7 linked regions of the Oryzias latipes genome follow. Each later gene encodes a partner of the first gene's protein in a complex. Links are inferred from orthologs where the notes say so. Each region holds a gene or a part of one and is shown in the gene's direction. Other genes may lie near its edges. The genes, in order: polr3e, polr3g, polr3c, polr3d, polr3f, polr3k and crcp.

What was found.
Region 2: polr3e (region 1) and polr3g share a complex: the UniProt entries of both Homo sapiens proteins name them as parts of the RNA polymerase III complex. The link is inferred for Oryzias latipes from reciprocal best matches to the Homo sapiens genes POLR3E and POLR3G.
Region 3: polr3e (region 1) and polr3c share a complex: the UniProt entries of both Homo sapiens proteins name them as parts of the RNA polymerase III complex. The link is inferred for Oryzias latipes from reciprocal best matches to the Homo sapiens genes POLR3E and POLR3C.
Region 4: polr3e (region 1) and polr3d share a complex: the UniProt entries of both Homo sapiens proteins name them as parts of the RNA polymerase III complex. The link is inferred for Oryzias latipes from reciprocal best matches to the Homo sapiens genes POLR3E and POLR3D.
Region 5: polr3e (region 1) and polr3f share a complex: the UniProt entries of both Homo sapiens proteins name them as parts of the RNA polymerase III complex. The link is inferred for Oryzias latipes from reciprocal best matches to the Homo sapiens genes POLR3E and POLR3F.
Region 6: polr3e (region 1) and polr3k share a complex: the UniProt entries of both Homo sapiens proteins name them as parts of the RNA polymerase III complex. The link is inferred for Oryzias latipes from reciprocal best matches to the Homo sapiens genes POLR3E and POLR3K.
Region 7: polr3e (region 1) and crcp share a complex: the UniProt entries of both Homo sapiens proteins name them as parts of the RNA polymerase III complex. The link is inferred for Oryzias latipes from reciprocal best matches to the Homo sapiens genes POLR3E and CRCP.

The regions. Positions count from the first base shown.
Region 1 is NC_019877.2:13,142,977-13,147,272, reverse strand, and holds the start of polr3e (DNA-directed RNA polymerase III subunit RPC5), read left to right. Parts: upstream 1-1,496; 5' UTR 1,497-1,564; exon of another isoform or gene 1,565-1,640; intron 1,641-1,696; exon of another isoform or gene 1,697-1,862; intron 1,863-2,584; 5' UTR 2,585-2,631; coding exon 2,632-2,670; intron 2,671-3,726; coding exon 3,727-3,777; intron 3,778-4,272; coding exon 4,273-4,296. UniProt on the Homo sapiens protein: DNA-dependent RNA polymerase catalyzes the transcription of DNA into RNA using the four ribonucleoside triphosphates as substrates.
Region 2 is NC_019867.2:16,255,786-16,260,076, reverse strand, and holds the start of polr3g (DNA-directed RNA polymerase III subunit RPC7), read left to right. Parts: upstream 1-1,491; 5' UTR 1,492-1,741; intron 1,742-1,871; 5' UTR 1,872-1,892; coding exon 1,893-2,003; intron 2,004-2,308; coding exon 2,309-2,438; intron 2,439-2,982; coding exon 2,983-3,048; intron 3,049-3,125; coding exon 3,126-3,185; intron 3,186-3,263; coding exon 3,264-3,328; intron 3,329-3,966; coding exon 3,967-4,077; intron 4,078-4,157; coding exon 4,158-4,247; 3' UTR 4,248-4,291. Other genes in the region: mblac2 (metallo-beta-lactamase domain-containing protein 2), read right to left, coding at 765-1,206. UniProt on the Homo sapiens protein: DNA-dependent RNA polymerase catalyzes the transcription of DNA into RNA using the four ribonucleoside triphosphates as substrates.
Region 3 is NC_019874.2:18,840,176-18,844,359, forward strand, and holds the start of polr3c (DNA-directed RNA polymerase III subunit RPC3), read left to right. Parts: upstream 1-1,384; 5' UTR 1,385-1,503; intron 1,504-2,380; coding exon 2,381-2,527; intron 2,528-2,854; coding exon 2,855-3,119; intron 3,120-3,275; coding exon 3,276-3,565; intron 3,566-3,669; coding exon 3,670-3,774; intron 3,775-4,184. Other genes in the region: E3 ubiquitin-protein ligase RNF115, read right to left, coding at 1,214-1,291. UniProt on the Homo sapiens protein: DNA-dependent RNA polymerase catalyzes the transcription of DNA into RNA using the four ribonucleoside triphosphates as substrates.
Region 4 is NC_019867.2:17,411,597-17,415,859, reverse strand, and holds the start of polr3d (DNA-directed RNA polymerase III subunit RPC4), read left to right. Parts: upstream 1-1,463; 5' UTR 1,464-1,583; intron 1,584-3,510; 5' UTR 3,511-3,542; coding exon 3,543-3,707; intron 3,708-3,900; coding exon 3,901-3,944; intron 3,945-4,051; coding exon 4,052-4,206; intron 4,207-4,263. UniProt on the Homo sapiens protein: DNA-dependent RNA polymerase catalyzes the transcription of DNA into RNA using the four ribonucleoside triphosphates as substrates.
Region 5 is NC_019859.2:414,638-418,860, reverse strand, and holds the start of polr3f (DNA-directed RNA polymerase III subunit RPC6), read left to right. Parts: upstream 1-1,423; 5' UTR 1,424-1,520; coding exon 1,521-1,582; intron 1,583-2,454; coding exon 2,455-2,572; intron 2,573-2,647; coding exon 2,648-2,715; intron 2,716-2,779; coding exon 2,780-2,847; intron 2,848-2,914; coding exon 2,915-3,027; intron 3,028-3,103; coding exon 3,104-3,247; intron 3,248-3,781; coding exon 3,782-3,889; intron 3,890-3,958; coding exon 3,959-4,150; intron 4,151-4,223. UniProt on the Homo sapiens protein: DNA-dependent RNA polymerase catalyzes the transcription of DNA into RNA using the four ribonucleoside triphosphates as substrates.
Region 6 is NC_019866.2:8,138,547-8,141,709, forward strand, and holds polr3k (DNA-directed RNA polymerase III subunit RPC10), read left to right. Parts: upstream 1-1,487; 5' UTR 1,488-1,593; coding exon 1,594-1,704; intron 1,705-1,799; coding exon 1,800-1,887; intron 1,888-2,423; coding exon 2,424-2,551; 3' UTR 2,552-2,663; downstream 2,664-3,163. Other genes in the region: snrnp25 (U11/U12 small nuclear ribonucleoprotein 25 kDa protein), read right to left, coding at 197-287, 907-1,119. UniProt on the Homo sapiens protein: Core component of RNA polymerase III (Pol III) which synthesizes small non-coding RNAs using the four ribonucleoside triphosphates as substrates. Can mediate Pol I proofreading of the nascent RNA transcript.
Region 7 is NC_019872.2:8,449,030-8,453,222, reverse strand, and holds the start of crcp (DNA-directed RNA polymerase III subunit RPC9), read left to right. Parts: upstream 1-1,393; 5' UTR 1,394-1,469; coding exon 1,470-1,477; intron 1,478-2,590; coding exon 2,591-2,627; intron 2,628-2,725; coding exon 2,726-2,824; intron 2,825-2,897; coding exon 2,898-2,992; intron 2,993-3,122; coding exon 3,123-3,180; intron 3,181-4,193. Other genes in the region: protein FAM111A, read left to right, coding at 1-533. UniProt on the Homo sapiens protein: DNA-dependent RNA polymerase catalyzes the transcription of DNA into RNA using the four ribonucleoside triphosphates as substrates.

The DNA.
Region 1 (4,296 bases):
AGCTTCTGTGAAAAGTAAAAAACAATTTCACATTTTGAGAAAACGCAAGTTTTTCTTTGAATCCGTTGTGCAATCCTAGGCACTTTAACATTGGGCGTTGGGTCATCTAGACCCCACAAGATTCTTCAATGATTTGTGATCTTCACTGGTGTCCATGGATTACATGAAATCCTCTTCACCTTTATCCACCTTTGTCATGGTAGGGAGAACACGTCAATGGTCATCTTGACCCCATAGGATAGCACAAGGGGTATTTGTGCTTTTTCAAGTCAAAAAATTAATATACCGGTAATTCATATTTATTACAAAAATAACAAAGTAATGAATGCAAAGCAAATATCAAATTTTCCTAAAGACTTTGTGGCTCCTACTACTCCAACACATAAAAGGTCAAATGGCTTTTTAAGTGTTGATGGTTGCAGACCTCTGCTTTAAACCAACAACATGGCTGCTCTCTCACCATCTTCTACACCTTTCCTTTCATTCTTGCTAACATTTTTCTTTTGTCTCACATCATACCTAAACCTTCCTCCACCCATTACAACCTGTCTGCATATGCCTCTACAACCAATCTGTTGTTCTAGACTGGAAATCCTCCCCATCTTCTGCAGCGGACCTTCAGTCCTCTCCTTTCCACGTCAAACCCCCACCTCTCTAGTTGTTCTTCCACTTCCTTTCTGCTTTCAATGCATGTCATTTGCAGACATCATGGTCCACAGAGATTTCTGTCTAACTTCATCTGTCAGTCTGTTCATCACCACACAAACAAGGAAGACCATCTCACCACTGCCTCACACCTCTCATACATGTCCAATTTCCATTGGCACCCTGTGGATGACTGTACCATTGGTGGTTGTTGTTACACCTTTGCCACGATTAGTATAAAATTTATTGTTGTAGTTTGCACGACTGTATTGACTTTGGTTTTACTGGGTGCCCTTCATGACACAACCCTTTGTATTTACAAACCATCTCACAATTCCCTGTTTAAAATTGAACCGTGTGTTTCACCATTGAACTGAACAAAATCGTGGAGAAAGTGAATTGTTGCATCTCGACTGGATACCACTAGGGTGACGTTGAGTGACAATGAGTTGTTTTAAATTTAACACAACTGATTGACACTCAATTGTGTTAAATGTAGGAAGTATTTATTGATTCTTTATTCTTTAAGTAAATTATACCAGTCTTAGTGTAACCCAGGTATAAAAGGTTTCTCTTCATTGGTACTTACCTATTTCCAAATAAAAAAAAAACTTTTCCGAATGTCTCGGTTCTTGTTGTTTCGTGATACACAATTCATATATACATATACGGCACGTATATATATATGTCCCATGTCCTTTAGCCGGACATGGGACAGGTAATGCGTCGTGCAGCCTTGTGGTTGCATTTATAATTGAACATGAATAGGCAGCGTTCAGCTGCCTATGGACTATGATGACACATTTTCCTTCGCAATGCATCACGGTAGCGTGGCCGAGCGGTCTAAGGCGCTGGATTAAGGCTCCAGTCTCTTCGGGGGCGTGGGTTCGAATCCCACCGCTGCCAAGAATTCTTTTTGGTACGTCGTTGTTTTTCCTCAACGCTTGATCTAACAGTTAAAGAAAACACATGCAGAACGAATTAGTGAATAAAAGGTAAGTTAAAGTAAATAGGTTATAAAGACACGTGACAGTGCTCAGTTCCGCAGTTTGGTCCGAATAGCATTATTTGCACGAGCACGTCCAACTCCCCACGTGTCTGTTGAAACAGCGTCAACATCATGGTACCTCAAGCCCGGTAGTTTGCTTCAAGTCTAGTAGTTCACTCATGGACTGTTCTTGAACGTGTTATATATTTAAACTGCAGGGGGTGAGCAGGTGAGGCCTCACGCTGTTTCTATGGGGATGCCACATGTCCAAAGTGCTAAATCTGATGTTTTGTCTTGTTTATCATAAATCTCTGATGTGTGTGTTAGCACGCTAAGCTACATTACTCTGGTTAGCTTAGCTACAGCCTACCTTCAGTTTTGGAATTTTCAGAAAACTCCACAGTTAAAAGTGTCGTTCGTCTCTGTCTACTTAAGCGCGTATTTGTAAAGAAATGTTATTTTGAGTGTCTCTGTTGTGGGGGCCTGTGGCTAGTAATTTAAAGAGCTGATGCTTGCTAGGCTAATGAAGCTAACGAAGCAAGAACTATCTGACTTTTCTGAACTGTGGGCCTGCAGAAAATTGTGTAACCAACATAAATCACAGATTGACAAGGATGCTGGACGTCGTTTGTATTTAGGGAAGTGAAAAACTTCAATTTTTTGGATGGTTGCGTACTATTACATCAGTTTCGCCGTGATGGGTCCGTGAAAGCATCATCTGACATGCTGCATCATCACAGATTAGTTTAGATCGCATATAGATACAGAAATGTAACTTGTTATACGTTTAACTACCAATGAAACACTTTTTTTTTTTTTTACAAATATAATGTACATCTGGATTACTAGGACTTCTGTTAAACCTTTCTGTTCTTTTGGATTACCTGCTGTAGCATATTAAAAGCAGTGTTAATCAATGACGGATTCTTGCTTTGCATTTATTTTGTCCAGGTTGAAGTCCTCTGATATATCACTGCTGCTCCCCTGATCCTATAGATATGGCCAGTGGAGATGAAGATGATCCAATTATAGAGGAGGTATGTTTACGTCTGGAATTTAAATAAAGTTTCAATCCTCTTCTGATCACTGCTATGCAGCAACTTTGAGCCATGAGAAATATGTATTTGAATGAATGAATTAAACTTTATTGATCTCAAAAATAAGGAAATGACCATGTTTATGGGTAAATGTAGTTCCCATTAAACTAGCATGTATTAGTGTTTGTTTTAAGCTAATTTGAAGACGTTTTTCTGTGGTCTGCGGTCGATTGAAAAACAATCCAACATGCTGTTGTCTAACAATTCATCTGTGTTTACACTGTGACCTTCTCTAAAGAGAATGGAAACTACTGACAGCCTCTGAAATCGGTCACATATTTACATTAAACAACATTAACAGTATTAGGCAAGTGGTTTGGTTTTTCCAAACGCATTTTAATTAGAGTGGTTAATTTTCACATACATGTCCTCCATCATCATAAAAAAAAAAAACAATTTTCATCAGAGTGTGGGTCATCAGTTTCTTTGGGAAACCCCCCCAAAAAAGAAGAGCCTCTGAGTTTTGCAGCATTTTTCCTATAACCTGATCTGCAGGATTGCATATTGAGCCATATGTACAAAAAGGAGTGCCGCTGCTTTGGGGTTTTCAACTGGAAATGTCTCCTTCAGTTTACACTTGGTGTGGGAGTTTTAGTGTGTAGATTAGCAGGTGGTTTGTACAAAATGCCCAAGGAAGCCTTTTGTGCCATTGTTTAAGAGAAGTTGTTGTGTTTAAGAGGCAGATGTATTCATAGGCAGAAAAACCTTTTTGGTATTGTTTATTAATATGTTTTCAAAAAAACTATTTTTTAATTGACTTTTTGTGTACTTATGTTTCATGCACTTTAGGAAGCAACGTTATGTATGTAAAGTGCTAAACAAATAATGTTTAGTTTAACAATTTTCTTATTTATTATGTTTTAAGACATTTTATTTAGATAACTACATGAATAGAAATGCAGTTAAGACTCATATAATATTACGTTGAAAACCTTGAAGCTCAGAGTCATTTGTGCAGAGTGGAAAAGTCTGATTTTCATTTGTGTGTTTCTGTAGATTGACGTGTACCTCGCCAAAAGCCTCGCAGATAAGCTCTATCTTTTCCAGGTAAGCATTTCCTTCATTATTGTGCCTGTTTTTATATTCTGCTTAAAACCTTTTACTTTCCTCATGGTCAATGCTTTTTATTTTTATTTTTTTATTTATTTTTTTTACTGTTAAATGGAAGTCAGTTGAATGTGTTAGTCACATAAATATACACATAAAAAGGAAAAATTGAATTCAAAATTATTATTCTTTTTCTGTTTTGAGAGCCACAAACATAATGAATAAGCATTTTTTCTGCCCTTTCAGATGTTTTGTTGAAAATGTGTAACTTGCACCAAACCCATTTCAATTATCTTGATTTTAATGAAATGTTTCTGTTAAAATTTGTTCTTCAAAATGTTCCTTTTTTAGTCATTTATTCCTTAAGCTTTTAATTATTTATCTTTAATAACAGATTAATAAAATAGTATTTTTTCTAAACTTTGATAGTTGAAAAAAAGCTCTCCTCTGGCTTGTTGTGTTGACTCATCGTTTAATCTTTCGTTTTTTGTGCAGTATCCTGTCCGGCCGGCTATTATG
Region 2 (4,291 bases), on another chromosome or scaffold:
TTTAATGATTTGTGATCTTCACTGGTTTCCATGGATTACATGAAATCCTCTCCATCTTTATCCACGGTAGGGAGAACACGTCAATGGCCATCTTGACCCCATAGGATAGCACAAGGGTTAGACAGGGCTGTTCATTCCTGATCCTCGAGATCTACCACCCTGACGGTTTTCCAGATCTCCAAGTCCTGCTAGCGGATGATTAGCTCAATCAGATGTCTCCACATTCTGATTGAATGAACACACCTGCTCCAGGTAGTCAGCAGCAAGCAGTGCAGGGAGAGATGGAAAACAGGCAGGGCGATAAATCTCGAGTACCAGGAATGAGGAGCCCTGGTTTAGAAAATGCTTATGTCCAGAATATACTTATTCACAGACAGGATGGTGGGTGATAAATATCCCAGTGCTTTGCTGTGTGTGTGAGAAAAACCTACACACTCATTCCTGAAAGTAACAGAATCTGCCAAAGTCATCAGCATGGTGACTTAAAAATAGATCAGCTTTGCAGGAAGAGAGCCAAGACAATGGTGAGGACCACACAGTATCCCAACCTCACCCATGTGCAAATATTTGAAAGTCTGGTTTCTTGTGTCTGGCTTGTCACTGGGCCATCTGTTAATTTCGTTTTGCAGAAATTTGGTTTGAGAATGAGAAGGATTTTGAAACTCTAATACACTGAATGAAGTTTTTAAGTTGTAGGTTTGACCCCAGATTTAGCCCCCACTAGCACCAAGCACCACATGTGTGCTGACAGATGCCCTGCCTACCCTCTTGCAGTATGTGCGTGGGCTGAACAGCCTTGACTTTGTAGTTCCTTGCTCTCCACCCTGGACTGGGGCGCTCGGCTATCTCCCTGTCGCTCAACCAGGTGACCGTCTCGAAGTTGTCTCCGTTGGCCAGCGCATCGACCTCTGCGCTGTGGACGCCCACCTGTTGGAACTGATGCAGACCCCCCGAGTGGTCGAAGTGGGCGTGAGTGGCGATGGCCAGCAGCGGGTTCTTCCTCTGCGGGTCTTTTCCCAGCAGCCCCTTGGAGTCGATGTAGTCAGGTAAGCTCCTCAGCCCCAGGCCGGTGTCTATCACCACGTCCTGATGCGAACCGCGGAGCAACCAGATGTTGGCCCGGTTGTCCGATTGATAAAACCGCTCCTGGATCCAGAATAGTCCGTCTCCGAGCGACTTGTGGGCGTACCAGTCGGCTGCAGACATCCCAGGACATGCAAATGTCGAGGTAAGCTTCGGAAGGGAGACGCGCCGTCGGCTGAATTAGCACAACAGTGTTAGTAGCCTCGTAGCTAGGAGCAGTGTGGTTTCATTGAAGCTGTAATGATGGTGGCCGCACACACCCTTGTTTGAAAGCAGCCAGCCCATTGGTCGAAGTGAGAAATGACGGTAGATGTGAACGCGGCAGCGATTGGACGAAAATAAGAAACGCCCTATTGGGACGTAAGCAGGGGCGGAGAGGGGAAAGCATCTGCTCACGCTGACTAGTCTATTGGTTACACATGCGTTTCCCAGCCGGTTCCACAAAAAAACCATAGAAAGAAGCGATAGGTTTATTTACTTATCTTTTTCGCCTAAATGTAAGCTAAACCGCTAAGCCACAAACTCGGACCGTTTAGCTTTAACAAATAAATCAAATTCAATAAGATTTCATTGGGAAACACGTGTCATTTATAGTTATAAAACTTTATTTTTTTATCTCACGTCTCCATAAAAGGAGAGTTTTACCAGCAGGCCTCCTGTAAGTATTTATGAAAAAATATATATCAGGGAAAAATTGTCATTTCTCATAGCGGACTCAATGGTGCAATACCGGCAAGCACGTGCTTGTCAATGACGGTGCTTGCCTGAGGATGAACCGTGTGTTGCAGGTCGTGGTCAGGGGCGCAGCCATGGCAGGCAAAGGCCGCGGGGTGGCTGCGTTTACCTTCAACATTGATGCTCTGGGCATTGGCAGAGGCAACATGCCAGAAGCCAGGGTGGGGCCCAGTCCACTGTTTCCAGTAAGTAAATGCCACACAAACACGGAAAGATGGAAGGTTTAATTAGCAAAAATTCAAGTTTTATTTAAGTAAAATAAATTGGCATGTGTCATCAACGTAGGGCTTTTAGTGTACTCTCCCTGTGTAGTCTCAGTACTTTGTAAAATGTGCTCAGAAAGCAAACTATGATGTAATCTATTTTGTGTCAAACACTTGGTTTATGGACACTTTCTGAGAATGACTGCCTGCTTGGATTACACCAATTTTCAGATAAACAAGAAACGTGTCACTGTAATAAATATCTTGCATCATTTGCCCTTATTTAGACTACTGAATTTAAACCGGTTCCACTCAAAGGAGGTGAAGAGGAAGACTACATGCTGGCGTTAAAACAGGAATTAAGAGGAGCAATGCAGAGGCTACCACACAACATTAAAGCTTGCTCCAGCAAAACGGGTAGGGGGGAGAGTGCTGACATATGAGAGATTTCTACGTCAAGATAATTCTGGGCTGCTGGAAGTGGAGATAACTGCTGCTTTTGGGAAATCAGACATTTTATGAGTGTTATACATAAGAGAAATGAGATTCTATAGTTACTGCTTATGCCTCATTATGAAGTTTTCAATTGTTGTTGTTTTTTTAGGGGTCCATCATTACAGATATTTTAAACATCTTTAATTTTCTTTGGTCTATGACATAAACCCAAGAAAAAACTTAAAGGAGTACATTTAATTTAAGTCACCTGTTAAAAAAAAGACAATTTCTAATCCAGGTTCCAGACTTTTGATCATTAGAAAATACTTTTTAAGATTCATTTATGAACAAATAATTTGGTACAATGCATAAATGTCTAAACAATAAATTTATTTTTGCTGTAGCAATGAATTGATTCCAGAGATTAACTTTCATTTGTTTTTTATCTTTTATGTTTAGTAAAAAAATTCTCACTGATCTGATACTTTTTTCAAATGTACTCTGTTGTTCTGTTTACATGAAACAGAGGTGGAGAAATACACTGAAAGATACTTGAAACAAGCCCAGATTAACAGTGAGGAATGGACTCCAGGTAATTGCTTTAGATGGAAATTTTTTTTTCAAAAGGTGTCATGTAAAGTAATGCAAACATCGTGTCACACATTTCAGACTGGAACCTTTTTCCCAAAGAACTGATGCCCCAAAGTAAAAAACGTAGAATTAAGAAAGGTAAATTAAAGTCACATTGCATGCAGGAAATGTTGAATGCGTGTTTTTTATTTATTTAAAAAGTGTTTTTTGCTTCAGGCACCAAGACTAAAACTGTGAAGAAGTTGAAGGAAGATAAAGCCAATGTGCTCAGTAAACTGGATGTAAGCCTATCTTCCTTCTTTAGCTTTTTTAGACTATTTAAATGTTTTTTTTTCTTAATTGAACTTTGTACAAGGATGTCTTTAGGCGCTGTCATTCGGTGCTGAAGTTAGTAGGCACATGCCTTTAAAATAAAAAAATCTAGTTTGGAAACTGCCATAAGGACAGAATAGTTTAAAGCCATGTGAAAAAAGATTATGGTTGTACGAAGTTTTAGCAAGATTTTGCAGAAGTCTACATCTGTGTAAAATATAAGGCACAATTTTACCTGTTTTTTTAATACCAACATTAGACTGAAAAACGCTTATTGTACTGGTGCTTCTGATTTTGAATTGGTAAAAAAAGTAAAAATCGCATGTCCCTTTCTGAAACTGATCAAATTACATCAAGTTTAAAAACAGTTTGACTCTTGAATGATCTTGACAGACCCATCTTTAGTGTCTGATGGGCTTAAATCTATTTAAAAAGGAAACTGTTCAGACTTGAACATTTCTTCCTTAACTGATCGGCTTTAAACACATTGGCCCAAACCATACTGCCAAGCAGAACAAAGAGAACTGCTGTGAAAATGTAGACTTTTTTTTAAATGGGAAGAAAGCCTACCATTTAGTTTGAATCCCACCCCAAAAAATCTGCTCAGGAATTGGCCAAGAAAGATGAAAATCCTGAGAAGTCAGATGAGGAAACTGAGAAGAAAGCAGAGGACGATGAAGAAATCGAAGAGGAAGAACTCGAAGAAGACATAGAAGAGGTTTGGTCCCAGGAATAGTGGAAAATCTGCATTGGTCTTATTTGATGCAACTAATGTTTTATCTGCTTGTTGCTCCTCAGGAAAATGACTACATTGAAAGCTATTTTGACAACGGTGAAGATTTTGCTGCTGAAAGTGACGATAACATGGATGGGGAAGCAACCTACTGAAGCCCATTTTGCATGGCTTTGACAGTTGCATATGAAATGTCTGT
Region 3 (4,184 bases), on another chromosome or scaffold:
AAGAGACAAGTGAGTAAATCCAGAATTAGTGACCAATTATCTGAAATTTAAAAATAATGGGGAGGCAATAGTCACAGCTCTGTTTCCAGTTTACTGGTCGATTAAACAAATAGACGTTTGGATGTTTATTTTTACTTTATGGCACAGTAAATCACAGAACCCTCCATCTCTGTATCAGTCTAACAGATTGCTTCTAAGAAGCTAACAGGTTGCACTTTTTAATTTAAACTTTCAGTCAAAATCTAGACACAACATAAAGCAGTGTTTCCTAAAATTCGGGTTATATAACAAAATTCATTTACTCAATACATCAGCCAGTTATAAGCTAAATTTATAAAACATGTAAGAGAACACATTCATGTTAGAAATTCAGATATTTCTGGTATTTATTTTAACCTGTCCAAATTTTTTCTTGTCCAAAATGAAATACTATAATCATTATCATCAACAAAATAACTTATATTTCAATGATTGAAAAATGTGTGTCAATTTTTATTTATTTACCAAGGAACATTTGTTTCAAAAACACAAAACGGAGTCAACAAGAGAAAAAAAACTACAAATAAAAAAACAAACACTTACAGTTAGTTAAATGTTTTTGTAAAAACGTAGGAATGTCCTTTTAAATAAATGGCCTTTTAAAGAATATTTGTAAAATAGTAATAGTAGGCCATTTAAACGCCTCTTCTGCCGACATTGTTACGTTTGACTTTAACACTAAAACTGAAAGTAAACCACAACGTATGACATCTACAGAAAACTTCCCCTGCTTATACTGCCACTGCTGTTAACAGAAACAAAAACTAAATGTGTATATATACTGAAAAGGAAAATCTGAGTGACAGTTTATGAATAAATAAACTCTCAGATTAATTCGGGCTGTTTTGTTCAAAAACATGCATCTATCATTTACCACCAAGCACACAACTTCTACCTTGAAGCACAGAGATTAGCGTAAGTATTTTAAAACAGGCACGAATAACAAGACCTACTATCGTTAGTTTTAAGAGTAGCTTAGTTTCCCCTAAAACGACTAACCGGAGTTTCTTTACTGACTTAACAACAACAAACACTGCTATATGCTAATAGCCTATGGGCTTAGCTGTAGCAAGAAGTAGCCGAAACAAACAGCTACCTGCCGGAAGGCAGACTTGTCAGCCGCGCATAACACTCAACATAAAATGAGCGAATAACCAAAAATAACGCGACTTACCGGGAGTTTGGGATTTACTTCTCCCTTACAACAGTGACAGAAAAACCGATGCGAGGGAACAGCCGCAGCCTCCGCCATCTTCCCGGAGCAGCACAAACACTGACGTCGGTCCTCCACTAGCTGAAGGGAGCTGTCCGCCCCCAGCCCGGCATGCACTGCGGCACTGTTGTCGAATCACAGCAAGCAAAAAACCGGGAGCGGAAGTGTCTGTTTGTTGTCATCGACTAGCCTCATGCGCTAAACTATCTGCACGGAGTCTGCTTTCATTGCGAGATCTGAAATCGAAAAAGGTTTGTGAAAAAAAAAAAATGCCAGGCTTATACCATCAAATATTCAGAGATAATTTAGTAAATTCCCAGCATGCAATTGTAATTTTACTATCCAAAAGCCCAAGGGGGAAAGAACTTGAACAACTGTTGACTTTTCAAATTAGAAGAGATAGTTTACATGCACTGTATGCTATAAGGGAAACTACTTAATGACCGATCTAACTTTTTATTTTTAGATTTTACCTGTTGGAATAAGTGGTGCCTGTTTTAACAAAGTAAAATACTATTATTGTTGTTTGTAGTTCGTAAACTAGATGTATAGAGATAACATAACTAAAAAAAGTGCTGTTTATTGAAAAACTAAACTGAACTAAAATAAAATTGATTTATTGTTTATATTGGTTCATGTTGAACGATCAAATCCGATCCGATTCACTGATCTAAAATCGATCCAGAACATCTTTAGCCAAGAATTCAACCAGTGGGACTCAGAAAATAAATACCTGGATTCTGAACAGTGCAGGGGAAGTTTTCCACATTCCCTGTATTTTTTTGCAACATAATTAAGTGTAAATTAAACATGTTTACAAACAAACAAGTAAAAAAGAATGAATGGACAGTTTTACCTACATTTTGCTGCCATTCGATGTGTTGTCTGTTTTAACGTTATAGTTAGAAAAAAAGCCTACTGTGCCTTAATCCAAATGGTATTTTCCAATATTGATAATAATTGATTTATTTCCTTTTAAAATTAATTCATATTGGTATAGTTTGATTCGATTAACATCTTGCCTCAGATGGATGAATCGATTCATCTTTACAGCCTACTAAAAGCACATGCATTAGTTCTTATTATTAACTTAGTGGTTTTCATTGAACTGTTGGTGTGTTTGTGCAGATGACAGCCCAGGAGGTCCGTCTGTGTGGTCTTCTGCTGCAGGAGCACTTTGGAGAAGTGGTGGAGAAAGTGGGAAGAAATCTGCTCAAAAGTGGAACGCAAAATTTAAGAGCCATTGTTCATGAAACTGGCTTGTCAGTGGATCTGGTAGGTCAACGCAAGACTGAGATTGCATTCGCTGTAGTCAGATGTTCTTTGAAAAATAATCAAAATTATTCATTATTTGAATTATTATTCAAAGCAAACGGTCACATATATTACTATGTCCCTTGCAATATGGCAAAAGTTAGTTCTTTAAAGATATTTGAACAATAAGAGAAACAAAATTATAATGTAATTATTCAGGTAATATATATTCATATTTGAAAACAGTTTTACCTGAAACTGATTGCTTATCAGTTTTTTGTCAATACAATACAGTGATGTCTGGTAATGTTCATGTACTTTAACAGGACTTCTTCTTCTTTCATCAAGGTAAAGAAGTCTCTGTGCGTTCTTGTGCAACATGGAGCCTGTTCGTTTATTCAAGGTCGAAAAGGACCGGGGAGCCCGACGGAATACAAAGCCCACTGCGATCGGGTACTGAGAATTCTGCGCTACCCACGTTACATATACACAGCCAAAACGCTGTACGGCGACACCGGTGAGCTTATCATAGAGGAGCTGCTGCAGAGGGGCCACATGACGATGAGCAACACAGTTAAGACAGTCGCAGACCGTCTAACTCAGAGTATGGACGGTGAGCATCAGAATCAAACAAAAGACTGTCCATAAAAGAGATGATCTGTTTTCTGAAGGTTTTTTTTTCAGTTAAGCTTTGGATTGAGGCCTAAAATATCGCGATCAGTAGATTCATTTTCTAATGAATACTTCCTTTGATGTTTTGTTGATACAGAGGGGTCGAGCATGGATTATGGTGAAGTGTCCGCCACCTTTTCCAAACTGGTAGAGACTCATTTTCTCCAGCGCTGTCCCCCAGCAGCAGGAGCAGGAACGACAGGGAGCAGTCAGACTGCCAATTCGACTTCTGCAGCTCCTGCCAGCAGCACTGCACCCACACCGGAAAGCTTCCCCGACTGCTACAGGGTTCCTCAAGTGACACTCATAGGCCGGAGCAAACGCTCGCTCGCCAGCGAGGAAGGAGAGGACCAAAGAAATGCGAAAAAAGCGAAAATGGACCCAGAGGTCAGAGAGACGTTTGTTAAAGCAAGATGTTCACTGCATATGCTAAGACTTCTATGGTTGTGACTTCTGTTTGTCTTCTCATAACTTGGATCTTTGGTGCTCAGACTCATGGGGATGAGGGGATTTACTGGCAGGTGAACTTTGAACGGTTCCACCAGCATTTCCGGGATCAGACTATCATCAGTGCTGTCGCCAACAAACTAGATCAGGTGGGAATTCCACAAAACATTTCAAACTAACCATTTTTTTTATTCATTAAAAGAAAAACAGGTTTTGAAAAATAATTGCCTAGAAAAAAAAACCCAAATACATTTCCTCAGTGTATAATTATTTGATGGTTAAAAGTAAAAATGAATAGTATTTGAAAACCCTCTTTGTATGGCTGAAGGAATTTAGCATAAGCATTTGGTTGTTTGATAAGACTATCTGACTTTGAAGTATTGACCTTAAAATCAAAGAAAATTCAAATTTTAAATGAAATAAAGTGATAGTTTTTGGAAGTACTCCTAATAATTCCTCTTTTTTCTTGGATTGTTCTCTGTGCTTTAAATACTACAGCTTTTTACATTTATTTCATTATTAATTATTTATTATTATTATTTATTATTAACTAGCTGTC
Region 4 (4,263 bases), on another chromosome or scaffold:
ACTTTTGTCTTTGAAGAGACCCATTGAAAAGGATACATTGACTCCTTCTGCTTGGCAAATTTTTCATTTTGTGTATATAGAACATAAAAAAACATACATTTTTCTTGCCAAGTTATTCTTAAAAGAAAAAAAATCGTCATTAAACTTGGAGTTTCAAACATCATCTAAACTCTATATCTTGAATTCCCCTTTAATATTTTCTCACACTAAACCATACTCTAATGACATGCAGCTCATAAAAAGGTAACCTAAACTTTCCCTGTTTGATCAAATTGATTTATTTAACTGCATCTATTTATATTTTTCACATATTAAAAACAAATATTTTCTTTGCACTCTGAAGGCCTATTGGATGTTTCCTTTAACAGATTATTTGTATTATTACTATATCACACAGTAGGAACATTCATTACTTATATCACAAACTCTATTTTAATTCCTTAAAAATGTAAAGATGTGAGTTTCCATTTAGAGTTTATATTAGATTTAATCTGTTTAACTGCATGGAAATATTTAATCTTACTGTTTTATTTAACTGCATGCAGTTGTTTGCATAAGGTAGCAAATGGATAGTTCAGTTGGCTCTGTGTAGGACTGGATCATGGGAAACCAGGATCCGCTTCCCAGGGGCCACAATGAACTTGATGCAGTGTGGGCCCTTAGGCAAGACCCTTTGTTGTACTGCGTAACTATGCAGCCACAAGGGGGCCCAAGTCTAGGTTCCCCTGTGCCGGTCCCCAGCTAGGATAAAATACAGGGTTGTGTCAGGAAGATCATCTGGCGCAAAAATCTCTGCAAAGCTACCTGTGAGAATCAGGGAAAGCTGATTCGCTGTCGAGACCCCAGAAGGAATATGCTGAAAGGCGAGAAATATAAAAGCGTGAATGTTGCATAAGACTATTTTGCTGTAAGACAGAAAATAACCAAGGAAACAAGTGCCCAAACAAATGAAATATTTATTATTATTATTATTATTATTATTATTATTATTATTATTATTATTATTATTATTATTATTATTATTATTATTATTATTATTGTTAGTAGTAGTAGTAATATAATCAGTTCCCTTAGCATGTCAGAGGAAAATAACATCTTTAGAAAAAAAAAATTTCCAATCTCGAAATATGCCATATCTTTTGGTTCTTCACATCTGAGACATTTATTTCAAAACATTCAATAACATTAATCCATGCAAAAGATTTTTATGAATCTGACAAAACTTGCAGGAAAACTAATGCACGATATGTCAGAACTCAAAATATAATTTTCATTTAGCTGTTTTAGGAAACATTTGGAAAGACTAGTATAATCGTTTATCTAATCTTATCTTTTTTATGACAGTGAATTTTTTTGGACTGTGGATTCTGAAATAAAACATAAAAATAAAACAAAATAATGTTTCTAAGCATGCGCGTTTTTCTGCGCATGTTTGATCCTCGAGAGCAAGTTGAAGCCAAAGCGGAAGTGTCATGGCGCCGCTAGTGAATGCAGCGGTGGACGAGGCAACAGGATTTTGTTTCTGATATCTGGCAGGTTTTAGGGGGGAAAACTCCGAATAAGGACCACCGAGGACGTGTCGTGTAAGTTTTTGGAGAACTGCAATATGTTAAGACTTCCTCTGGACAGCTTTCGCGTTGTTTGTGATCTATCTTACTAGCCACGTGTTTCTGTAACATTTTTCTTCATTCATCGTATGTAAATACTGGTTGTGTATTTAAATCACTGACAAATATCATTGTAAACACAATTTATTCTCAATGCTTAGACTCGAAAGTTTAAGAAATCATTCCTAATTAATGTCTTGAATTGCTTACGTTCAGAACCACAACAGAGTAAAAAAGATAAAAAGAAAAAGGTTACAGAACGGACTGAAAGTATATTTTTGTTTATCCCGGTATTATTACAAATTACATTAATGTAAACCTCAATAACATTAATTTTAGGTATGGGGTCTAATGATTAATTAATAAAGTGACACATCAAAACAGATTTTGTGGCTGAAACAAGTTGATAATGGATTCAAATCGAACTGTACCATTATAAAATCCTTTCAAAATTATATTAAATTGATAATCGATCTTGGAAAGTACCATTCAGATACATGCTTGGTTTTTTAACTATAGCGTAAAAACGACGTGATGGTGATGTTAGCAAAGAAATGTCAAAGCATCATTCCATTGCAATGTGTGGAAAAACAATTAATTTAGAAAAGACATGTGACCATAATCACAATAGTGTTCAGAAAAACAGCAGAAATCATTGATCGATTTTCTGGTCTTGTTACAAACTAACCAACCTCCAGCTGGCACAGAAACATGCCCTCTTGACTGTGAAGGAATTGAGCGTCCCCGCACAACAAATCAAACATACCCTGTAAGACGCGCATGCTCAATGTGTTTGTTTAGGGAAATAACAGAATTCTTTTTTTTAATTGGACAATTGCAACATACAGAACAAGAGAATGCAACAATTATGCACATATAATGTACAGTAGAATAAACGTGTTACAACATTAAGAAAATTTTAATTATTAGAAGCAATCACAAAAGGCAATAACAAATAAAAATAAATAAATAAAATAAAACTAAACAAAGAAAAAAATAAAATAAAGTTAAAAAAAAATAATAATAAAAAGAGAAAATACGAGAGTAAACTTATATCAGTAGTCCAAAAAATTTACAAATTTCAATTGTTTTTTGAGCTTTTGTATTTTTTGAAGATGAAATTAAGTTTAAATATTGCTGCAGTTCAAGTGACAGAATTTGTGGACATGAAGGGAGGGACACGCAAATCCCCTTTTGTAGCGATGATAAGACACTAAAAATCTTTTCTTTATCTTTTTGCTAATTTTAGTGTCACGTGCTGTTGAGCATTGCTAATTTTCTTGCAAAGATGTATTACAAAAACAAGTGCGTTGATCTTATTTTGCGAGATAACAGCTGGTTCTTTTAAATTTTGGCATAGGGGCCAAAAAAACAAAACAAAAGAACTTCTAGCCTGTAGCTTTACTTTGAAATCCAATGATTGGCGACACACGAGGATGAGGGGCCATAAATAAACGTCACAGCTGAGATCACCTGGTCAGAACACAGTACTTTCTCAGGAAGTTGAGGCAGGCCCTCTTCTTTCAGGAACTGCTGGTCAGGTTTTATAAGGCCAACAATGAGGGTTCAGTTCTAGTGCCGCGCTGTCTGAAGGCACAACAGAGGACAGGAAGACCGTGCAGGAAGTAGTAAGAACAGAGGGGAGGGGGATAGGAAGTGCACTACCAGACTGATTGGGAAAGAGTTGTATTTGGAAAGATGCCACACACCCTGGACATTACGTAACTGTTTTAAAGGCACACGCCAACAGAATCCAGAGTAGTGTTTCACCTGGCAGTAAAATGTGTGCAACCTCCTCATAAAGACATTTGAAAACAATTTTTATGTAATATTTGTGTATTTTCCTTTTAAACATCACCATTGTCTGAGAGAGATGATGATGAGTATTATTGTTGGCCACCAGGTTGGGAGTTTGACATCCCTTTAAAGTTCAGGATGGCGGACTCCGGGGAGTCCAGCAGTCAACGCGTTCCCACTCCTGCAGGCGCCAGCAGCAGCAATGTAGGACTCCAGATGGGGCGTCGACCACCAGCTGGACTCTCTCCTGGACGCCTCCCTTCCATGCGGTCAAGGGACCTCACCCTGGGAGGAGTGAAGAAGGTTAGCATCATACCTCACTCGCCATTTAATCTTTGGGTTAGGAATTGTGTTAGATGAGTTAATCACACCAGATATATTAAGAAACCCTTCTGTAGCTTCTTTTGCCCTACTTGCAATCATGATTTTTTTTTTCTAGATTTCAAAAATAAACAGCTTTTCTTATTACTCATTTATCTTTTTTTTAATTTTATAGAAAACCTTCACACCCAACATCATTGGCCGAAAGGTTAAAGAGGAGTAAGTTGATTTTATTTCTAGGATTGAAAAATGCAGTGAAGAACAAATAAAATTCGTGTAAACTGAAGCTTTAACTGTTTTAAAAAAAAAATTTTTGGTTGCAACAGAGCCAAAGTTGAGACTGATCAAAGGAGAGATCGGAGAGGTGGAGAACGTGGTCGAGGGCCGAGAGACAGAGGCAGGGGCCGAGGTCGCCAAGAGATCATCCAGTCCCATTCTATCTTTGAGCAGGGGCCGGCCGAGATGATGATGAAAAGGAGAGGTGGGGGGCCAGCAGGACTAGCATATGCAGTTTGCTGCTGCAGCTGAACTGCCATTT
Region 5 (4,223 bases), on another chromosome or scaffold:
TTTATCCAGCATAGGAAAGCAATAAACCCGAACAATTTCAACTTCATCTGGAAAAACAAAATTAATTCCATAAAAAAAGAACAATAATTCAGGATTACAGTGAAGGTGGACTTAAAGCCTCAGACTTTGAAAGTTTGGATGGTATGATTCAAATAAATTGGCTTAAGTCTTTTCTGCAAAATGGGAGAAATATTTGGTTTCATATTCCCTCAAACATCTTTTCTCATCTAGGGGGTATTGAGTTGCTTCTAAAATGTGATTTTGATTACAGAAAACTTCCTATTAAACTTTCTACTCATCATCAGCAGCTGTTACTGTATGGAAACTCCTCTACAAACATAACTGTAGTTCACACAATACTCCATATGGAACTGTTGGGATATTTTATGTAGGAACAAATCAATATTTTACAAACATTGGATTGATGACAGTATTTGGTCATTAATACATATTATGAATGACAATGGAAACATTATCTCATTTGAAACTTTTTCCAGTAAATTTAAATTAAATGATAGAAAATAATATAATAATGTGATCAAAGCCTCAGACTTTGGTCCAAATGTCCTCCAGTCTGGTTCATGATGATCAAGTTCAGCTTCCCTCTCTGTTGTTTGATGGTCGACCGGTTAATTCAAAACTTCCAAACTCATTTATACGATCTTTATTTGTTAGAGCCGTCCTGTTTCCAACATTAGACATAAATCATTCTATGTCACAGCTTTACACAAGAGAGGAAATAAGCAAGTTGAGGTCTCAGTTCATTAAATATCCAATTTTCCCAAAATACAAAGAAATCCATTTTAAAATAATGAATGCAGTCTATCCATGCAAAGAACTGTTACACATACGTTTAGGTTTTCCAGAGAATAACTGTTCTTTTTGTGATATAAATATTGAAACACTTGATCATTTGTTTTTTGAATGTATGTATGTTTACAGTTTTTGGGAGGATTTCTTTTTTTGGTGCTCTTCAAAGTTTCCCTTTCCTATTTCTATTCACTTACAAAAGCACATTATATTATTTGGAGTAGTTTCTGGTGATAATCTATTTGATTTGACATTCAATACCTTATTAATATCTGGGAAATTTTTCATTCACAAGTGCAGATTTGTAAAAACGAAACCATTATTTAATACATTTCTTAAAGAAATCAGTTTATATTTTAAATCTCTGACATTGATGAAAAACAAAAATGCAATAAAACTGTGTGTTTTCATTGAAGATCACATGCTGTATGACAATCCCTAGTGTTGTAAACTATAATTCTATATATTTTGTTTTATTTATTTACTTATTTTCTTTTTCTCTCTTTTTTGTATGTTGTTATTATGTGTATGTTTAAAGTTCAAATAAACAAAATTAAAAAAAAACAAAAAAAAACGTGAACGGACATCACGTGCTCTGATGACGTCACACAGGACCGAGCCTCTCCCGCCGCTGGGGGGCGGTAACGCTCCGGTCTCCGTGGTTCCCCCAGAAGAAGAAGCGGCGTCACCGGCAGCAGCGGACCGGGGAGATGGCGGAGGTTCGGGTAAAGAAAGAGACGAACCTGGCGGAACCTGCAGAGGTGGAGACCAGGTTCGGACCTCACGATTCTGCCGCGTGCCGGTCCATGACCGAAGCGCGTGCATTTCATCTACGAGCAGCTCCTTGGCTTGTTTCATGCGCGCGTGTCTTAAGTTCAGAAACGGTTCTGGTTCCGGAGGCTACTCTAAACCGAACCTCAGCAGGCTTCTAAGACCGAAACCACTTTGTCTGGTTCCAGAGGTTCGAATCGGGAGACCGACTCAGCTCACGCTCAGGTGGTTTTAGAACCGAGTCCAGTTCTGAAGGTTTTAGATCTGAGTAAACCTCCGAAGACTTCAGAACCGAGTGCAGGTCTGAAGACATTAGACTCGAGTCACTCGGGTCTAATGTCTTCATAACTGGACTCGGACTCGAGTCCCGTGAGTTCAGGTCTAAAGACTAAAGGAACCGAGTCCATCCAGGTCTGAAGACTTCAGAACTGAGTCCCGGTATGAAGGTTTTAGATCCGAGTCCAGGTCTGAAGACTTTAGAACCGAGTTCAGTTCTGCAGACTTTAGAACCGAGTCCCGGTATGAAGGTTTTAGATCCGAGTCCTGGTTTGAAGGTCCAGGTCCGAGGACTATCGCTGCAGCTGTTGGATGTTCTGGATGTTGTTCAGAGAACACGCGGATGGGTCAGACGGATTCTAGAGTTCAGGCGGTCTTTGGACCATTTCTGAAGATCCAACGTGACGTTCTGAACGGACCAGAAACACTAGAACCTCCGTCTTGGAGAGGTCCATCTGAAGATGTTCCTTTTTGTTCCAACTGGAGATGAGACCCAAGCTGACACAGGGTTTATTATGGGATGTCTGATCTTTGGAGCGACTGGACCTTGTGGTTCTGATCCAGGAACTTCAGCTCTGAACGCCTGTGTGTCTCCAGGATCAGAGAGCTGTGTCAGCAGTTCCCTCAGGGAATCACAGACCAGGTGATCCAGAACGACATGCCTCACCTGGAGCCGCAGCAGAGGGCCCTGGCCATCAACAAGCTGCTGTCCCTGGTTAGTCCGGTTCTGAACAACCCAATCCATTCTTCAGCGCAGAGGGGTTCTAACGTAACCTGGTGTTTGTTCCAGGGCCAGCTGGACTTGCTCAGGAACAGTTCTGGTCTTCTGTACAGATTAAAAGATTCTCAGACAGCCAGGTGAGCAGCGTTCCATCTGCAGGTTCTGGTTCTGTCCACCGTGAACCCCAATCCTCTGTTTCAGTAAGATGAAGGGCTCGGACAACCAGGAGAAGCTGGTTTACCAGATCATCGAGGATGCCGGAAACAAAGGTGAGCTCTGTCTGCCTCCTTCCAGAAGGTACCGCGGGTCAGAACCTCCCAGATGTTCTGTTCGCAGGAATCTGGAGCAGAGACATCCGCTTCAAGAGCAACCTCCCTCTGACCGAGATCAACAAGATCCTGAAGAACCTGGAGAGCAAGAAGCTCATCAAAGCCGTCAAATCTGTGGCCGTGAGTTCAGAACCGAGCCGGTCCAGACGTGCTTGTGGCCGCCGGCAGTCCTGAACTCTGCTCGTCTGCCACGCAGGCGTCCAAGAAGAAGGTCTACATGCTGTACAACGTGCAGCCGGACCGCTCCGTCACCGGAGGGGCCTGGTACAGCGACCAGGACTTTGAGTCCGAGTTCGTGGAGGTTCTGAACCAGCAGTGCTTCAAGTTCCTGCAGAGCAAGGTATGGAGAACCCAAATGTACGGAACACCAAACCAATGGGTCACAAAGGTCAGAGGTCAGCTGTAGAGCTACGTTTACACCGGGAAACGCGTTCAAGGGACCGCTTTGAGTCCAAAGTCTACGGGAACGCGTCTACGCTTCCGCCTCCAAACTCTACAAAAAGCGCCGCCATTGAACGTGAAACCAGTTGAACTTTGACCAATCAGGGACTCTGAGTTGGTTGCGACGTATGATGGCGTCAAAGCAGAAGTACCAACGACTGAAACTTGATCAGAAAGGACAAAGTAATAACTGCGGTTTGTGTCGACGCCAAGTCTATGATGGATCAGAATCGAGCTGTGAACAAAAGACTCACCAGATTTGGACGTTTCCCACCGAGTCGTCCAACCGCAGGAGACGGCGCCGGGTAGCCACAGTCCAGAATGAACGCCGTAGGCGAGCAAAGGTTCTGTGGTCTTCAACGCGCATCACGTGTGTGAACGTAGCACCAGGCTGAGGGGCCCACCCCTCACCCCCACTCACCCCTGTGTGCAGGCGGAGGCGGCGCGGGGCGGCCAGCAGAGCCCCATGGTTCAGAGGAACAGCTCCTTCGCCACGTCTCACGAAGTCTGGAAGTACATCAGCGAGTTGGGCATCAGCAAGGTGGCCCCGCCGTGACCTCACAGCCCCTCCCAACAGCTGCAGCTGTTCTCACAGGTGTCCCGTGTGCAGGTGGACCTGTCCATGGACGACATCGAGACCATCCTGAACACGCTGATCTACGACGGGAAGGTGGAGATGACCGTGATCGCCGCCAAGGAGGGGACGGTGGGCAGCGTGGACGGACAGATGAAGCTGTACCGCGGCGTGAACGCCGTGCTGCCGCCGGCGGGCCTGGTGAAGACGCCCTGCGGCCTGTGCCCGGTAAGCCGCGCTCCGACGCCCCCTGCTGCCGCTCCGGCTGCGGCACTCACCCCCCCCCCCCCCCCAATCTCTC
Region 6 (3,163 bases), on another chromosome or scaffold:
TTAAAAAAAAACCCACTGACCATTAAGGCCAACCAGAAAAAAAACGTTTGTCAGGGAACATTTAGATTGGACTCCAGAGCGATAGAAGAAGGTTATGAGGTCTGATGAGTCAGGCAGTGAACACAGACATAGTCATACAAACACAATATAGACACATACTAATTATACAAATCAGCTGGGAGACTTTGGAACTTACGCATGATTTCCCCATCTGCCTTAACAACCTTCACAGTCATTGCTTGCCCATACTCCAATGCAATCTGGGAGTTTACTTCTTCCAAAGTCACCTGAACACAAAAATATTGCAGATTGTGGATTCTCATCCTTCTAACACAGTAGAGGGTAAAAAAAAAAAAAATCAGTCAAATGGACTTGGTTAATCCTTTATAACTGCAGACATTTCATGTTTTCTCAAAGACAAATTTGCAAATACGAAAGATAAACCAGTTGTAAATAACAGATTTCTTTCTGGGCTTAATAATAAATGAGATTAAAAAAAAACAAATGTGATTATTGTATAATAGTCCAATGTTACAAGAGCAATACTGACAATACTAATGTTATGGATTATAACCTGTGTTTTTGTTATTTTTATTATGCATGTTTGGTACTTAATTCTAGATTAGAACATTTATTTCATTGCTATTCGTATATAATTCTTAAATCGTATAAACAGTTTCAAGAAGAAAAAGGAGAGAAAACATAAATTAGAGCTATAAGATTGTTTTGAAATTGGATTCGATTTGGCTTTTCAAGAATATATATGCAGCTATTTTCTGCTATGCAAATATGCCGTCAGACAAACCGGAAGAAGGACGCGTTTCAACTTTAGTGTTAAATTTACAATTTATGAAAATTTTCTTTAAACATCTGCCTGGTGTGCGGAGTGTGGTGTTTTTCTATGACCTGGATCGGCAGATCACACAGTAAAGGGTCCTGCACAAGTCGAGCAAGTCCCTCTTCGAAGATATCAAGGATCTCTGAATGTGGAAGAGACTCCTCATCTTCCTCCTCGGCATCTGGAGCTGTCTCATCAGCCAGCTTCTCCTCTTTCACCTCACTGTGACTGTGACTGTCCTGCAAACGATTCTCTCCTTCGTCGGTTTCCTGCTCCATCATCTATTATTGGTTAAAAATAAATACATTCAGTAAAAATGAAACCGCTTTCTCTTTTTTGACGCGTTCAATTAAGTACAAAAGATTCTTAAAATAATAATAATAGGATACTGTTTACAAAAATGTATCCCAAGACTGGTGTGAATTTTAATGCTGTGTGTCGCAGACCTTATACCGGTGGTATCATCAAAACATGATAAATAGTTCCGCTTATCAAAAGTAAGAACTTTTTTTCATGCGGCGGATGGTGGGGTTTTAAAATAATTATATTATTTATAATGTTATACATATATTTATACATTTATATACATTCTTTAACAATAACAATTTCATTTTTAACAAACGTTTTTTTTTTTTTTGTTTCCTACCGAGCTGTAAAACCGGAGCAACTGCTTCCGCTTTGCTTCTCCTTGCTAATGAATTTCGTAGTCGCTACTATCTTTCCCGAGATAGTTTTTCTTTAAATAATCTGGTAATATGCTTCTTTTTTGTCCTACTTGTGGAAACGTTTTAATCGTAGAAGAAGGACAGAAATGCTTGAGATTCGCTTGTAACACTTGTCCCTATGTGCACAACGTCACGAGAAAGGTACGCTCCTTTTATCACTGTCTGACTCTGACTCGAGAAACAAACACGACATTTCTTAGGGTGGTTTTTAATCTCAAACTTTTCAATATTTGTAGGTAAACTACCGAAAATATCCCAAGCTGAAAGAGGTGGATGATGTGCTGGGTGGAGCTGCAGCGTGGGAGAACGTGGATTCTACTGCAGGTAACAAACAAGTTTGTTACCAAGAATTAAAAAAAAACATGGATAGACTAGAGAATAATATAAAACAAAGGCCAAGAAAAACTAATTTGACTACTAAGACAAATATGTTCTCCATAGGAATAAATTAAAGTTTATTTGAAACAGTCCATTTGCGTGTTTAAAGGGTGTTAATAGTCACCCTTAGCTGCAAGTACACTTGAAGTTTATTTTATTAAGTGTACTTGGATGCAAGTATTGCACATATACTGCTGACCATGTAACGTGTAGGGAGTACATTAACTTAACACTTATTCTGACTAAATTGTGACATTTTATGTTTACTATATATAGACTGAACTTCAAGTACACTGCCTCACTCTAAGTATACTTGTAGTACACTTAAATGGACTACTTTTTGCTAGAGGCAGTGTTGCTGTGTGATGCTATGGCGAGTACCAACCTGAATGTGGGCCACAGAAAGAAGTTCAATCCGAGAACTAACTAAAATTCTGAACATGTGTGTACATATATGCATGTTTGCTTGTGTTTTTTCACAGAAACGTGTCCCAAATGCGAGCATCCTCGAGCCTACTTCATGCAGATCCAGACCAGATCAGCCGATGAACCAATGACGACTTTCTACAAATGCTGTAATGCTCAGTGTGGAAACAGATGGAGAGATTGAGCATTTTATTTCATTCACTCATTATTTCTAGTTTAAATGGCAATCAAAGCACATGTAAAGAATGTTTTGGACCCATTATTATTTATAAATAAAATTTGCTTTTCAGAATCAATCAACGGACAAATTCTTTATTTCAGAGCTTTTATTGATAAAATAATACCTGTGTACATCAGTCAATTCAATTGTCTTAGATGTTTGTATCTTGTTGCAGACATTGAGAGCAATGCATACCACTGGTTCCCACACGTTTATTTTCTATGCAATCCTTGAGCTCAAAATGCAATTTCTAGAGCAACTCAATCATCCTTAAGGTAAGGAAGAGAAAAAAAAATACAAATCTAGGAGCCAGCCAAAGAGAATCACTTATTTGGATGTGTAGCTCATGCAGACAAATTCTGCACCTCCAAAGCGTTGGTGAAAAATGAAATCGGACATGCTGTGACGGAACAGTGCTTTTACACTGTTAGTGGTTTATCCAATAAAAACTGTATTTTTGATATTTTTTTAGCTTAATCTGAAAAGACTGCTCAGTCAAGGCTATCGCTTCATCTAACATGCATTTATTTATGTCATAGATGACAAATGTCAAGATTAGGTGATCAATGCAATGAT
Region 7 (4,193 bases), on another chromosome or scaffold:
ATGGTGGTGGAATCAGCATTATCGGGCATCCTCAGGGAGGTGTGAAAAAGATCGACCCCTGTTTGATTGTTCCACACAGCCAGGTTGTTGATAGGGTTCCCCTGATAACCAAGTATTTCTTTGCTGATAAACTTTTGAAATACGAATCTAGTTTTTTCGAAGGCTCCTCTGGCTCTCCTGTTTTTGACAACCACTGCAATGTGGTTGCAATGCATTCAGGAGGATTCACCTACGACAAAGAAGGGATGGAAAGACGGGCTGTTGTTGAATATGCCCAACCTCTGCATTTCATTTTGGAAGATTTTATTATCCAAATGGTGGAGGGAAAAAAGTTTGACGTTTTGAGAGAATATCTTGATTGCAGCTACACTCGAGGCACCGCCGTCAAAGACGGTGTCAAAAAAATAGTTGAGAGCAGAAATAACCAACGGTTCAAAGAAGCTGCAAGGAGCTGTGTGGATGACAAAGTTGTACAAACATTCCTTGAGTTTTTCTGCCAAACTGAGGAACCTGTCCCAATGGAGGTTGTTTAGGTCTCATCATCTCATTTTATAGTTATCCTGGGCTTGACTGCAGTAAAACAAAGAAATTCCAGCAGTGAAAAGCAAAAATTAAACGAAAGCTTTAAACTCAGCTTTAATAAAAGTTAAAGCTTTAATTTCTGCACTTATTGTTTACTTTATTGTTGCTCCAAGCAATTCACATGCACCTGTTTAATATAATTATGTGATTTTTCTGTCCCAGAAACATTTTTAACCATCACTCTCCAGTTCAGAGAAAAAATAATGCTGGAAAAAATCTGTTCACTCTTGTATATTTTACTTGTATGGATGTCCAATTCTTACATTTCAGTCTTGACTCATTCCTGTATCAAGTTCTTGAAAAGAAATGCCAACAAAAGGTTTCCTTTTTTTGGTTGTTTTATTATGTTTTGGGATTTATTTGTTTTTTCAAATATAGATTACTCATTACTCAGTGCAGTAGCATAAAATTCATTGTACTTTTTCTGTTTTTGTTTTTAAAAAGCAAAAAGTGTTCAATACTGTGTGCTTCAAATCATGACTAATGAAACTGTATTAAAATCTGATAAAAGTGACTTCTAGTGTATTCCTTTTTTGTTCCCTTACCCTAACAGTAAATGTTAAATGTTTAATATGTTTAAAATAACCCTCGATGTGTTCAGGGTGTACTTCACCTTCTCCCTGATGCTGCTGCATGAGGCTCTGGAAGTCCTTGTTAATTTCATTGAACTGTTTGGTGAAGGGGCTTTCGAATTTACACTTTTTGAGATACTCTTACATTGTTTTTCATTTTCAAACATCTCGGCAGTGTTTCACTTTTTTAAATATTTATTCTGTTTTCTCTGATCCCACGTTCTATGTAAAAATGCGTTTTTTGCTAGGCGGAACCAATATACTCCCCTATTTTCTACACGAACCCCTTTATTGTAACGGAACCTAAGAGTCGACATGGAAGTGTAAGATTTTTTTTTTAAGAACAAAACAACGGCTAATAAGTCTTTTATGTATATTTACATGTACAATTTTAATTGTGATCGATGGTAGTTTCGTGCGTGTTTCAGTTTCGGGTTTATTATGTGATGTTTTGCTTGTTCCGTTGGGATGATGCTGTCGGCCAAAAAATGGAGAGATGATGATCGACACACAAAACAACTGAATTAAAACATATTGAGTCCGGGAGACTTTGATCCATTTTGAAGAGTTTGCAGTCTACAAATGTTTTAAATTGTATTATGTTTGGGGACGAAGTTAGAGACGGGACAAAAGGTCGCGAAATCGTTTATAAACGTAAATTTCAGAAGATGGGAGAAACAAAAAGCACGGGTCGGATTAGTTTGAGTTTGTGTTATCAAATATTTGTTTCAAATCATGAAACATTCCATTTACAAACACATTCTGCGTTGGCTCTTCAATAATAAATGAATTAGTTATGACATGATGAAGCAGCTAAAAAACATTTTGTCATCTAATATAAGCCAACTCAGCCGCACTCCACAACATTTGTCAACTTGTCACTTGAGCTCTGATCTAATTCATATTTGCCTGAAATCACAAACTTAATTTTTCTAAATAACATTGAAGCAAAGAAATATGGGAAACAGGTTTGAATTTAAACAGTATTCTGTCTTGTTTTTCATTAGATTTATTTATATTTATCAAAAGTTTGCTTTTTTTAATTGTATTTCTTTTCTTCTTCAAACTTGAAAAACAAAAACATTTGCTAATATCTATTTCAGTAAGTTTCAACGGCTTTAAAATAATCTAATTGATGGGTTTCTAGTTTTTAAAAAGGGAAAACACAAAAAAAAATTATTGCTGTTCATTAAAGAGAAGATCTGAGGTTCCGATTAAGAAAATTTCGTTATATAAATAAAAATCAAGTAGAGAAATCCAGCCGTTCTTTTAGTAACACAAGGATGTGAAGATCAAATCACAGAAGAAAAATGTTTACTAAATATATAAACTACATGGGAAATATTCCAATCTTATAAAGCTTGTTTTGGTAACAGATATTTTAATTATCTCATAATTTAATGTTTAACAATTGTTATTTGGGTTTTTTTACACAGAAAAAATGCAAACGCGGCCATGCTCAGTAACTATGAGGTGAGACTATAAGACTGTCTATTAAGGGTTTTTGTTGATTTTCCTGCCTGGTAATGAAATTAATTATTCAGAAAAGCTAAATAATGTCTTCGTCTCAGGTATTCAAACTTCTCACCGACCTGAAAGAACAGAGGAAAGATGCTGGAAAAAGCAAACATAGCCTCGGGCAACAGGACCTCAACACCATCATGTATGAAGTGGGTACTATTCATACTGTCTGAGCTTTAGTTGTCAAATCCAGTCCATGTTCTCACCTGCATTTGCTTTCAGACTCTAAAGTATTTGTCAAAGACGCCATGCAGCAGACAGAGTCCTGAAATTGTCAGAGAGTTCCTCACCACCATGATGCCTCAGAAGCTGACCAAGTCAGTATCTAAAAGATAATATTTTTCACCCCTCTGGGGCTTCAATTGTAATTTCCGCTTAATAAATGATGTATAGTTTGGGGATAAAAATGTCTCAAAGTTAAAATTTTGCCATCTTTCTCTCTTTAAGGGCAGAAAAACTGCAGCTGTTAAACCAACGGCCTCAGAGTGCAGTGGAAATTCAGCTTGTAAGTATTTTTCATGTCTTTCTAAATGTTTTATCTTTTTTTCCTAAATAATTTACTCATGTATTCCTATGGTAGCTCTGTATAACAAATGAGATCTTTCTCATATTTGTATTTTTGTTAACTCAACCCAAAAAGGCTCAAATCTAACCCAAAACATGCACTTTTTCACATGCATCCATCAGCAACTTCATTTGTTACATGTAGATTGCCCTACAGGTTCTACCACTCTGGTTTTTTCATGCTATTCCTGTCTGCAGGGTTAGTTTGAATGGGCAATTCACAGTAAATCCAGGCTTGAGCCCATTCCTGTAACGCATTAATAATCTATTGAAGCAGCTATTACAAGACAATGTTAACAATACCTTATACAGCAAACCAAAAAGACCCTCATGACCCGTTTAAGCAAAGCCTTATTATTGCTTTAGCTAAGCGTTGAGGTTATGGCTGTGATGGGTTTAGAAATATTTAATCCTTAAAATGGGTACATTGCACTATTTGACTAAAAATCAAGTAGAGAAATCCAGCCGTTCTTTTAGCAAACTGAGTAACACCAGGATGTGGAGTGCAGACTTCTGATGCTGCTTCACTGGGGTGTGGTGTGTCCCGAAAAAATCTTTTTTAGCAACCAATAATTACTCACCTAAAGCCAAGTGTAGAAGGCTCCCTCTATTAAGAAATAATCTGGTTTCATAATGCAACAGCAATTATATATTGTCCTAAATCAGTTATTCTAGAGCAGATTATCTCTTAGAGTACATTTTAAAAAGTGAATTTCCAAAACTATATGGAGCCTCTTAAAGAACTGCACTCCCTGTTTACCATTTGTCTCTCTGCAATCTGTATCCTTTTAAAATAAAAATATTTTTTTCAATACAAAGCAGCTATAAAGCAGTTGTTGCAGTGAACACAAATGAGGCCATTTCCATTAGCATCCACTAACATGCAGTTCTAAAACTCAGCCTGCAGATGTCGCCCTTCTCACTTTTGAGATGCTTTTAACCCTTGTGCTATCT